Linked DNA regions of Oryctolagus cuniculus. The protein of the gene in region 1 purifies or fractionates together with the protein of each later gene. This does not show direct contact. Links are inferred from orthologs where the notes say so. Each region holds a gene or a part of one and is shown on either strand. Other genes may lie near its edges.

Evidence for each region.
Region 2: the proteins of ASF1A (region 1) and UBN2 purify together in Homo sapiens (affinity purification with mass spectrometry; 3 studies listed by BioGRID and IntAct, counting the BioPlex papers as one, with this or other methods). This does not show direct contact. The link is inferred for Oryctolagus cuniculus from reciprocal best matches to the Homo sapiens genes ASF1A and UBN2.

The regions. Positions count from the first base shown.
Region 1 is NC_091436.1:51,458,052-51,463,782, forward strand, and holds the end of ASF1A (histone chaperone ASF1A), read right to left. Parts: exon of another isoform or gene 5,699-5,731; coding exon of another isoform or gene 5,604-5,698; intron 3,660-5,603; coding exon 3,483-3,659; intron 2,414-3,482; coding exon 2,201-2,413; downstream 1-2,200. UniProt on the Homo sapiens protein: Histone chaperone that facilitates histone deposition and histone exchange and removal during nucleosome assembly and disassembly.
Region 2 is NC_091434.1:184,736,034-184,743,447, forward strand, and holds the start of UBN2 (ubinuclein-2), read right to left. Parts: upstream 4,271-7,414; 5' UTR 3,922-4,270; coding exon 3,475-3,921; intron 1-3,474.

The DNA of each region.
Region 1 (5,731 bases):
ATCTCCTGGCTCCTGATCAACGCAGCGCACCGGCCGCAGCACACCATCTGTAGCGGCCATTTTGGGGGTGAACCAACAGAAGGAAAACCTTTCTCTCTGTCTGTCTGTCTCTCTCACTGTCTAACTCTGCCTGTCAAAACTCCTGCCATAGGTTTGCTAGAAACCTCAAATCCTAAAACTAGTGAATAAAACCACCTACAAGCCTAAGGTTATATGATGCTATGATGGGCAAATACAAACTTGCTTCCTCAGACTTCCTAGATGTTGCTGAGCTCAAATGATAACCTTGTTCCCTCCAACCTGCTTGACTTACCTTTTCAGTGGCATAAATAATTTGTTCATGTTTACATTCTCAGGATAAGCTATTTACTGTGATCAGGAAGGGGAAAATATCTTCAAACCTTCTAGCTATTATTTGTATATAGTGTCTATAAATGAGGCTAAACAGGAAGTCTTGGAGCTGCAGTTTTAGTTTTTGTATTTAAAAATTCATGAAGCCATAAAATTTAAGATAACAGATCATAGTTTCTAAATCCCAAACTTCAATGAAAATTTATAAATTGATATAAAAATCTAACACTTTGTCACCTGACACTGATCATAATTAGAATAAAAACTCAGTAGTGAGTTGCTTTATTTGGTGATCTAGCTATACATACTTTATTTCTAACAAGTACATCTTGTTATATTAATCACTGAGCTTTTTTGAAAAGTATTTTATTTTTATTGTTTAACATTTTCTTTTAATTGCAATTAGACAAAAATGAGACTCTCAAACTTTTAACAGTCAGAAGTATTTTAACTTTTAAAATCTATGAACTAGTTAATGGACAATATTTTAATAATCTGGTATTAAATTTCAAGATTTAACACTTAGCGAAACTTTGCTTCACAAATTCACTTTTATAGCACTTATTACAACCTAGAATCCATATTTAAATGCCCTTTCCTTTCCTGAAAATAAACTTTTAAAAGTGCAGTATAAAAGTTTTAGATATGAAGGCACTGCATAACCTGCATCATATGGCTGTCGTGCTTTGCAGCGAGAATAAAAATAATATTCTACCCTTACTTTAATGGAGCATAAAGAATTTCTGAAGAAGGACCTAACTCTCAAAGAAAACAAAACTTTTGGCCCATCTGGTTTATGAATTCCTTTCCAAGACTGCTTTTCAACAAGTTGTAATCTGGCAAAGCTACCTAGAATATGTCCACCATGCATAATATCTGATCTTATTCTTCATGACTGTAAGAGGATATGGGACAAGGTAGTATTTCCAAAGCAGTAAATTATATATTTTGATAAAGCTAAAATACTTTTCTAAGTCTACTTTTTTTTAAGTACTGCCAACAATAGATGACTACGAGTTTTTAAAAGTTCTCACTATTTTTATAAATCTAATGAGCAGATTTGAGCCATTAAATCTTGTATCCTTAAACTTAGGAAGTATTTGTTCTTGACTTGCTGAATTCACTGGGCAGTAATGATGAGCAATTCAAGAAGTGCTCTGATGTCTTAATTTTGTATAACCATTATAAAAACAAACACCATAGCCCAAAGAACTTTATAAACATGTAGGTACATTCGTTATCTTAGAAACTAAAGCAAATGCTGCCCCACATTACATTAATTGTAATAGTAACCATAAAAGGCTTCAGGGTGGCCTGAAAAGGACAGATCCTAAAGTCCTTGGTAGCATATAATTCATTTCAATCCCCCTTTTAAAGTCATGCCAAAAAGGAATGGAAAGTTTCCCCTTAAATTAAAACCACACTTTATGTTTTAACAGGAAGAAACATCTTAGTTGAAGTGAACTTTCTTTTTTCAAAGGCCAGAAAAAATAATGTTCCAAAGATTACTGTCCGAGAGGCTAAGACATCTTCACAACCTGGTCTAAGGATTTATATTTTTCTTTATAAGTGCTTTAATTACATATAAAGGAGAAGAAAAATAATATATATGCTTTAATCAAATTAGTTTCAGAACAAATAAAATAACACATTAGAGAAAAAATTACTTAAAAATAGTTGTATTTATATTCCACAATTTGCTCAAATACTGGTTTTCTTATAAACTTTCTACAGGATGTTTTTAAACAAATTCTTCACATTTTGTCTTGACTATGTACTTACGGAATTTCAGGGAAATAGTTCTGTGTATTTTTAATAGCTTAATTTGTACTAAAGGGATGGCAGGTGGTCACATGCAGTCCATGTGGGATTCTAACATGACATTTAGTGAGTTTTCTGACGTGGACCATCCCTTTGAGGCAGAAGGTAATGCATCTGTTGACAGAAGTGACTGTAGATTTGGATTACTGCTCTCTGCATCTTCCAGTTTTTCTGTGTTGTCTTCCCAATTAATGTGGAATCTTGTGACCCTGGGATTAGATGCCAAAATGTTCCTTTGAAGCTAGAAGAAGGAAATATATAAATGGTAAACATTACCAAAGTTTAATCACCCTATGCAAATAGATACTTAAAGAAATGGGTCCTTTATGTTAGCACTCCTGAAGGGTTACGTTCATATACAGAAGTATAGGACAAATAAAGCACTTTAGCATAACTAATAAACAAGGACTAGGACCATAGCAATTATTTTGGCTTAATAGGAACAAGATATGGAGAATCTGAGGGAATTCATTCAGATCTTTTACTATACTATGAAATATCTATTCTTCTACTCTTGTACTTCTATTTCCTAAGAAGGGAAAGAAAATTTCTCCCAAATACATCTTCTTGCTATTAGTGATTTCCTACCTTTTAAATATTATGGTTCATTTTTGGAAACAATAGTCTAGTTTCTTCTCTTTTCTGTTGTACAAGTTACCAAACAGATAACCAATAAATTTGATCTATGAAAGGATTGGCCAGGATGAAAAACATTCTAGCCTTATTACCAGAAAGTTGAACTTTATTCTACTGCCATGTGACTTTCCTTGTATTGCCTGGCAGACAGAGGGCCCTATTCAACTTCACTTGATTTGCACCCTCTCAAAATCACCAGTTAGTAAACTGTTACAGTTCCCAATGAAAAACCATAAAGGTACTAAGTATCCTTGAGAATAATGAATCACAGATTTCAGCTTCTCAGTGTTTAAGCTATTTGCTATCACCTGAAATATTTAAGACCTTTACTTTATCTGCTGTTCCTACAGAATAAAACTAAAGCATATAGGTACTTTGATATAAGCATAGATAACTGTTTATATGAAAAGCAGACACAAACACAGACTTCCATGTCATAAAAGCTGAAGTGAACATGATCTATGGGAAATGCCATATAAGAAGCAGTAAACAAGTGCCCATTTCTTATCAGAGATACTTAATGACTTGCATAGAGAAAGGGTTTGAGGTCACCCATGGTAAGGGAACAATGATTAGTTTGCCCAGCTGGCCCAAAGACATCAAATTTACTTTGTCTCAAACTGCCTAAAAAATTGTATAGTAACAGTAATTAAAAAGGAATAGTAAGACATTACCTTAGAAAAGTCTGGTTTTACTGGCGGATTTTCCCTTAATTCTGTCTCAGTATATTCATTATTTACATAGTAGCCAACTCTAATAAATTCTTGACCTCGATAGGTACAAGTAATTAGCACAACTGTTACGCCTACTGCATCAGCATCTGGAATGAGTCCTGGATTAGGTGCATCTGCCTGGAATAATTTAAAAGAAACATACACAAAAGGCTGTTAATGGCAGGCGAGATTGGAGTTGTAGTTACCCTGAGCACTTTCAGTTGAACATGGAACAAGAAAAACTTGGAAATCACATTGGGAAGACAAATGCTTACATTTGGGATTGGCCTAAAGGTAGATATATAGCTCATGTTTCTCCACAGTATCCTCAAGTAGCTTCATTAAACTTCCAGAGGGAAATAATTCTGGTTACTGTGTGTGTTGGTTCATGAGGAATTATGCAAATTCATTATAACTTTTTATAAAATACTTAAACAATTTAATCAATAGTGCTATTGGTTTTAACTTTTTCCAGTTATAATTTTCAGACCTAAATTAGTAAATACTAAATTATTTCCACACAACCAGTTGGCAACAAATGTTTTTTATACCAGTTTTCCTTTTCTCCCCAGGACACTTATATTCTCGTACCTATACAACCACCTCTCACAAATATTCTAATAGTAATTTAGTATAAAACTGAACACAAATAGCTACACAGCAGATTTTTGTTTTTCTTTTTAAAAAGATTTTATTTATTTGAGAGGCAGTGTTACAAAGGGGAGAGAGAGAGGGAGGGAGGTAGGAGGGAGGGAGAGAGAGAGAGAGAGAGAAAGTAAGTCTTCATCCGCTGGTTCACTCCCCAAATGGCTGCAATGGCCAGAGCTGGGCTGATCCGAAGCCAAGAGCCAGGAACTTCTGGGTCTCCCAAACAGGTGCAGGAGCCCAAGCACTTGGACCATCTTCTGCTACTTTCCTAGATCATACCAAGAACTGGATTGGAAGAGGAGCAGCTGGGACACAAACTGGCGCCCACATGGGATGCTGGCACCACAGGCAGAGGCTTAGCCTACTACACCACAGCACTGGCCCCTGCACAAAACACATGAATAATCCTCTGTTGTGAAAAGCCATTTTACTGGACACTAAGATTTAGTGTGCTGTTTAAAATTCATATTATGAAAATCCAAAGGAAGTAAAGATTATTTTAGGCAGATGTCATCAAAGACATTTGTTTTTGAATCCTGTTGAACCTTGAGGAATGCAGAAGGGAAGCTAGACAGCTAGAGGAGGCTAGGGATGCTAAAGGCCATGTCCCTAGTAGCACACCAAACAATAAGGAGACGAATGGATGTAAGGAGCCACAGACTGAGGCATCCAACCTCGATCTAAGGCGAACATCCAGGGTAGTAAGTGAATGAAGTCCCAGTCAGCTAGCTTACTGCTGCTAGGCCACCAGGAACCTGTGTCCTACATCTAGTCATTCTCACCAGTTCTTAATTCTAAAGGCCAACTTCATGTCTTCATCTCTTTCTGAAATACTGTTTAACTTTCTAACTGGTCTCCCCAGTAAAGTACTGGTTACACTGCTACCAACATTAGCTACCTAAACACAGATCTTATTCCTCTCTCTTAGCCTGGTTTTAAAACCTCAAATGATGATTTTCATTTCTAAGGGGTAAAATCTCACTTCTTGAATTTCATTTATAAGACCCTTCAGTTTGTCTCCAACTAACATCTCCAGTCATGTCTTAGATACATGAATTACCTAGGCTCTTTAAAATGTGATAATCTTTCTCACTTCTGTACCTCACACATACGTTCCCTGTTCCTTTGACTCGAAAGATCCTTTCTTTAAGGACCTTTTGACACTTAGAACAAATGAATCCTTCTCAGTGAAGCCCTGTGCCAGTCAGAAGGTGGATTCAGTGGCTTCCCTTTTTATGCACTTACATTGCTTGACACAAACCTCTACTAATGTGTGACCAACAATCTAAATATATTCTTCAGTCTTCCCTGTTAGGCTCTAAGCTTTCTGCAGGGCAGGAGTCCCATGCAACTCATCTGTATGGTCTCATGTAGAGCACAACCACAAGCACTTACTACTTTGAAATTCATTCATTGCTCGGTTCTATCTTGTAGAAATTTATGATCTCTTTGGAAAGAGCCTATCTTGGAGAATCTTCAGCATCCCAAGCACCATTCCTGCCCCACAGAAGTATCTGGAAGTGGGTTGAGATAGTTCAGTAATGCTGTCCTCCATATTGCTA
Region 2 (7,414 bases), on another chromosome or scaffold:
GGGTTCTAGTCCCGGTCGGGGCGCCGGATTCTGTCCCGGTTGCCCCTCTTCCAGGCCAGCTCTCTGCTGTGGCCAGGGAGTGCAGTGGAGGATGGCCCAAGTGCTTGGGCCCTGCACCCCATGGGAGACCAGGAGAAGCACCTGGCTCCTGGCTTCGGATCAGCTCGGTGCGCCGGCCACAGCGCACCGGCCGCGGTGGCCACTGGGGGGTGAACCAATGGAAAAGGAAGCCCTTTCTGTCTCTCTCACTGTCCACTCTGCCTGTCAAAAACAAACAAAAAAGCATACTAGGCCTTAGCTTGAGCCCTCAGACAGAACAGCCAGCAGCCCCCAAGCCTTGTCTTCACGAACTGTTCCCTCCCATGACGGAGAAGTCCAACCCCAGGTCTTACCACCAGTCTGCCCCACGTATGTGTGCAGATAGGAACACACATGCCTCTCTCACTTAAAGACGAGTGCCTGAAATATCTTACATGCTTTACAAAGGCTCCAAAAGTCTTTTATTATTGACAGGCTATAACATTTTTTGACTTATTTTTCTTTTAGAGTTAAGAACAACCCCACCCCACCCCCAAGGGCTGGTGTCGGGCACAGTTAGGTTGCCCTTGCAAGGCCAGCATCCCATTATCTGAGGGCCAGTTTGAGTCTCAGCTGCTCTGCCTCCAATCCACCTCCAGTAAAGCACCTGGAAAGCCAGCGATGGCCGATGGCTTAAGCGCTTGGGCTCCTGGCTCAGCCCTGGCTCTGGTGACCATCTGAAGGAGTGACCCACAGATGGAAGATGTACCTCAGTCATGCTGCCTTTCAAGTAAGTGAATCACTGTCACCCCTCCCCAACCTCAAATCAAGAGGAATCAGGAATCGCTGCTTCTCCAAGTGAACGAAAAATCTGAAATGGCCAACCAACCACATGCACAACTAGGCAGTAACTGTGCCCTTGGACTCGAACTCACTGCCAGCACGCTCAGGACACCTTCGACAACTCACCCGCAATCCGCAGCCGGCCAAGCAGTGGCAGGCCACGGAACTCCGCAACAGTGCAGTTACAGGAACACTGTGTTCCCTCCCTTTTCACAGTACAGCCTCAATTAATTGTATCCACAAATGTACCATCTATTAACTGATTCTGTTTACGAGTCAAAATGTCTTTTTTTCTGTGGATCAATCACTGACAAACGCACGCTCCTTCAGCTTTGGCCTGGAATGGTGAACTCGTCACTCTGAGGACAGAGATTACCGGGGCTCAGCCGCCCCCGCCCCTCAACCCAGCACAGAACAGCGAGAACTAACAAGGGCTTAGGCACTCTGCACACCGACAAGCTGGAAGCTGGGTCCTCACATTTTCCCAGTGCACGTTTACTCAGTTGTGCTTTTATTCATTCATAAAGAGAATACGAAATTCTGACTGTTAGTGTTCAAGGGGGCTGGTGTAAATGTACCCCGACAGAGGTGGCCCCCAGCACCACACTGACCGAGAGCCAACATCTTGTTCAGTGACAGCTACTTCAAAAACGTGAAGGCATTTTTCTTCATATTACAAGATCTCTTCCTCAGCTTTCTACTTCAGCCTGCTACAAGATACACTGTTCAATAATAGTTAATTCAAATTTAAAGTTCTTTTGAAAATACTACATCCTTAAAAATAAATGAGCTCTCCAAATGAAAAGGGAGGAAAAACCAAATTTGGGGATCATCCATTTCTATCCAACTCTAATGTTAACACTGTGCTTTCTCAGGCTCTCATCTAGGATTACCTTTCATGGAACTATGACAATTTTACTTAAAAAGGTATTTTCTATACTTATGTAAGCAATATATTCACTGAGAGTAACCACAGGAAAAAACTGGCAAATCTTTGTTGCAAAGGTGCCCTGCATAAAACATTTTTTGTTTGTTCAGGAGTATGACGAGATACACAGTTAGATAAACAATAAAACTGGGCAAATAAACCCCTAAATTGATAGCATATATCAAGTAAACACAACAAATGGAACGATTCACCTTTCCCCTATTCCATGAAACCACTGACAGCTCACCACAGGACGCCTACACCGAGTGTCCCAGGTGCCCAGGACACTGTGCCACCTAACTGCACAAACATGCTGCGATGCGTGCACGAGTGCGCCTCTCAGAACACAGCCTGTCACTGGGTGACACGTGATAAAACTCGGGTGTGAAAAAACTAGCCTTCTGAATTTTTCTATAAATAAGAATACATATCATTAATGTCTGATAGCATTAATATTACAGCATAAAGAGGATCACCATGGAGGTCTTTACATTGTTAAATGACTGATTTTACTTCATTTTGGTGGGATCCTCTAAATTTCAAGTATACACGTTTATTACAAAAAACGTTTACTAAGAATCAGTACTCCTGCGGAAAGAAGAACTGAAAAATTACATACAACCTTCTGCGTTACCCTCATTTGTAACACAGGGATACCGGTTCTTACCTATGGAGTTCTGCTGGACTAACCCAGATAAACCAGGTCCAGCGCTTACAGCTGTATTAGCATATAGTACAAAATCAGTGCATGTTAGCTGTTACTGTTTCGACCCAAAGATAACGCTTCTCATCTGCAATTTAGGAAAATTACAAAGACTGCACACCGACTTAGATTAGCAGGTAGAATACAAGCTACTTAGGAATGCTACAACCCACTATTTTCAGTATTCTTTTGGGAGAAGCTATGAAGAGGCGGGACAGTGAGTCTAAAGGGCAGACGTGGGATGTGGAAGTGCCCAAATCTGTGCTCTATCTGGCGGAATCACTAACGATTTGACCATGCAACAGTGTTCATAAATAATCGTCAGTCACCCGGCCATAAAACAAACCCAGAGACATTGTTAAATAATGTGATACTTTGTGACCAAGCGCTTACTCACTCCTACCTAGTTCATAAAGACAGCGAGGGTGAGGCAGAACCAGGGGCTGTGCAGTCCGTGGGCTGCGCCAGGCTAACCTCGCACAGGGCAGACCACCACGCACCCGACAGAGACCACAGCGGCCAAGAAGCCTGCCTTGTCCCATTGTCCAGTCTCACCAAAGGCACACCTCTGGATTTCCAGCAAAGTTGTAGAAAATCCAAGCTGGGCTTTTCATCGTTCTACGAAAATTACCCGGCCCAGCAACGTCCGCCAACCTGGACGTCTCAACGAGTGCCACACAGGCCGGGCGGGCGCCGAGCAAGGCTGGCAGGGGCCGCCCCTCACGACCCCCACACGGACCCACTCCGCAGAGGGCCGGCGCAGAGCGCCCACCGCACCGGGCGAGCAAGGACGCCGCGCCCCGCGCGCACGCACCGGCCTGGGCGGCCACGGCGCCCGCCAGCCTCGCCGCGGGGCGCGGGCGACCCCGGCCGGCTCGCCGCGGGGGCGTGTCCGCCGCCTCCCCTCCCGCCCGCGGGAGCGCCCCGGGGCCCCCGCGTGTCGCGGGAGCCCGCCCGCCCGCGCGGCCCCGGTCCTCTGTACCCGTTGCTCCCCGCACAGCAGCAGCTCCGGGTAACTGAACTCCACGCAGCTCTCGTCCGTGGGGTCCTTGAGCACCAGCTCCAGGCGCACCGTCTCCCGCGGCGGCGGCTCGGCCCGGGAGGCCGCCTCCCGCGGCGGCGGCGGCGGCGGCGGCGGCGGCTCGGGCCGCGGGGGCTCGCGCTGCGGCGGCGCCATGGGCGGCTCGGCGCGGCTGCCCTCGCGCTGCGGCGGCGGCGGCTTCTCCCGCGCCGGGGGCTGCGCGTCCGAGCGGGGGCCCGGCTCCCGGGGGCCCGGCGGCTCCGCGCGGGCCGGCTCGCGGTACGGCTGCGGCTCCGGCCGGGGCGCCTCGCGGGGGCAGTCGGGCTCGCGCTCGGGCCCCGGGAACTCGGCCTCGCGCCGCCTCGCCGGTGACAGGCTAATGAACGCTACTCGGCGCGGCTCCGCCATCCCCACTGTTCTGGCCCTCTGCTCTCGCGCGAGCCGGCGCGCGCTTCTACGCCGCGCCGCCCGCCTGCCCGCCCTTCCTTGCGCTCTCCGTCGCTTTTCTTCCCGCCACCGCCCTCCGCCGTCTCCGCCGACGCCACCGTGAGTGCGGACCGTGCCCCCTTCCCCGCCACTACGTTCTGATGGGCTCCGCCGCCATCGCCAGGGTCGCCGCAGCCGCCATGTTGGATCCCCCACATAAATAGAAGCAGGCCGCTGAGCGGGCGCATGCGCAGAGAGGAGACGCTCGCGTCCTCCGTCGTGGCTGTGGCTCCGTTTTCCTCTTTTCTTCCCGGCGGCCTGGAGCTCGCACGGCTCGGCGGAAGTGACGTCATGACACGGCCCGTTTCCCTGGAAACCGAGACGCCGTCGGCCGCCCGGCTCGCAGGGAGGGGGTCTGGGCTTCCGGAGCCGCTTCCTAGTCGCACCCGGAAACCGCAGGCGCGTTCCGGCCTGGGCCGGCGCGAGTGTCGGGGTCGTGCGTGGGGCCGAGCCGGGCCGCCATGGCGCCGGGGCCCGCCCGCCGCGTCGCGCCGGCTCTCGGCTCAGGGGAGTTGGTGATTCGGGGAAGTCACGGAGGAAGGGTTGAGGGGCGCGAGGACCGGCCCCCGCCGCCCCGAGGACCGAGCGGGCAGGGGGTGGCGGCCGCAGTGGCCCCGGCTCCGCCGGCCGGCGCCGCCCCTCCTGCGGGGCCTGCTCGGCCTGGCGGGTGAGGAAGCTGAGGGCGAGGCAGGAGGCCGAGGGAGAGGAAGGAGGCTGAGGGAGAGGAAGGAGGCCGAGGGAAAGGAAGGAGGCCGAGGGTGAGGCAGGAAGCCGAGAGAGACGTGGGAAGCCGGAGACGTAGGAAACCGAGGGAGATGCGGGAAGCCGGGAGACCGTCAGGAAGCCGAAGGAGACGTAGGAAGCCGAGGGAGACATGGGAAACCGAGGGAGATGCGGGAAATCGAGAGACCGTCAGGAAGCCGAGGGAGAGGAAGGAAGCCGAGGGAGATGCGGGAAGCCGAGGGAGACGCGGGAAGCCGAGGGAGAGGAAGGAAGCCGAGGGAGACGTGGGAAACCGAGGGAGATGCGGGAAGCCGAGAGACCGTCAGGAAGCCGAGGGAGACGCGGGAAGCCGAGGGAGAGGAAGGAAGCCGAGGGAGACGTGGGAAACCGAGGGAGACGCGGGAAGCCGAGAGACCGTCAGGAAGCCGAGGGAGACGCGGGAAGCAGAGGGAGACGTGGGAAACCGAGGGAGATGCGGGAAGCCGAGGGAGACGCGGGAAGCCGGGGAAGAGGCAGGAACCTGAGGGAGACGCGGGAAGCCGAGGGAGAGGAAGGAAGCCGGGGAAGAGGCAGGAACCTGAGGGAGACGCGGGAAGCCGAGGGAGAGGAAGGAAGCCGGGGAAGAGGCAGGAACCTGAGGGAGAAGCGGGAACCTGAGGGAGACGTAGGAAGCCGAGGGAGATGCGGGAAGCTGAGGGAGAGGCAGGAAGCTGAGGGAGAGGCAGGAACCTGAGGGAGACGTAGGAAGCCGAGGGAGATGCGGGAAGCTGAGGGAGAGGCAGGAAGCTCCGGTTCCCAGAGTGCGAGCGTTGGGGAGAATGCTCCACGCTCGCAGGAGTGTGCTATGTACGTCTCCCTATGCCATCGTGAAAGGAACTTAATTCGGAAATTTGAAAGCAAGAAAGGAACGGCTATGGCTCGTGCTTCAGGCCTGAAGTGCTGAAACCAGCACACAGCGCTTTGAGAGTGCTTGCGGGGACCTGAAGTGGCGCGCGGAAGATGGGGCCTCCTGGGGCGAGAGCGCCGTGTCTGCAGGCTCCGAGGCTCGAGGAGTCCCGGACAGGCAGGCCGCTCACTGGAAATCACCCCAAGCCTCCTGCTAACGGCAGCTGGATTGCCTGCCAAGGGATCCCTGGGCGATGAGGTGTCGCCCACAAATCCCTAGTAGGTCCAGGGTTCGCTCTCATGTGACGAGTTAGTGAAATTGTCTCTGTGGCAGACTAACAAAGCCAGGGGCCAGCGCAACCTGACACTTGCAACCAGGCAAACCATATGGGAGTGCCAGTCCGGTCCTGGAGGCTCTGCTCCGGGCACAGCTTTCGTCTTGATTCCTGAGAAACAGCGGAGGAGGACGCAGCAGAAGATGACCCAAGCAGAGGAGGACCAAGCAGAAGATGAACCAAGCAGAGGAGGACCAAGCACAGGAGAACCCAGCAGAGGAGGACCAAGTAGAAGATGACCCAAGCAAAGGGTGACCCAGCACAGGAGAACCCAGCAGAGGAGGACCAAGCAAAGGAGGAACTAGCAGAGGAGGACCAAGCAGAAGATGAACCAAGCAGAGGAGGACCCAACATGGGAGGACCAAGCAGAAGACGAACCAAGCACAGGAGAATCCAGCAGAGGAGGACCAAGCAAAGGAGGATCACACAGAGGAGGACGCAGCAGAAGAGGGACCATGCAGAGGAGGACCAAGCAAAAGATGACCCAAGCACTTGGGTGCCTGCCGCCCACATGGGACACCATAATGCAGTTTCAGGCACCTGGCTTCAGCCTGATCCAGCCTGTGAACCAGCAGATAGAGGACTGATTTATTTGTGTGTTATTATTTGACAGATAGAGTTAGATAGTGAGAGAGAGAGACAGAGAAAGGTCTTCCTTCCATTGGTTCACCCCCAAAATGGCCGCTACGGCAGGCACTGCACTGATCTGAAGCCAGGAGCCACGTGCTTCCTCCTGGTCTCCCATGCAGGTGCAGGGCCCAAGCACTTGGGCCATCCTCCACTGCCCTCCCAGGCCACATCAGAGCTGGACTGGAAGAGGAGCAACCGGGACGAGAACCTGGCACCCATATGGGATGCCGGTGCCACAGGCGGAGGATTAACCAAGTGAGCCATAGTGCTGGCCCAGTTTGTGTGTGTTTTTTAAGATTTATTTACTTGACAGGCAGAGTCAGAGATCTTCCATGCTCTGGCTCACTCCCCAGATGGCCACATGGCCAGAGCTGTGCTGATCTGAAGCGTCCTAGGCAGCAGCTTTACCAGCTGCACGACAGCACTGACCCCTATATGTTTGTTTTACCTAATGGCTCATATTATCTTCTGCTTAGTTCTTTCTTTCTTCCTTTCTTTTGTATTTATTTGAAAGGCAGAGTTACAGAGAAAAAGATCTTCCACCTGCTCGTTCACTCCCCCAAAATGGCCACCACAGCCAGAGTTGGGACAGGCCCCCAAGAGCCAGGAGCTTCTTCCAGTTCTTCTATGCAGGTACAGAGGCCCAAGCACTTAGGTCATCTTTTACTGCTTTTCCAGGCACGTCAGCCGAGAGTTGGATTGGAAGTGGACCAGCTGGGACTTGAACCAGCACCCATATGAGATGCTAGCACTGCAGGTGGTGTCTTAACCCTCTGTATCACAGCACTGACCTGTTTCTTACAATTTTTTGTATGTCTGTGTCTCCAGATCATGTTTTCTGT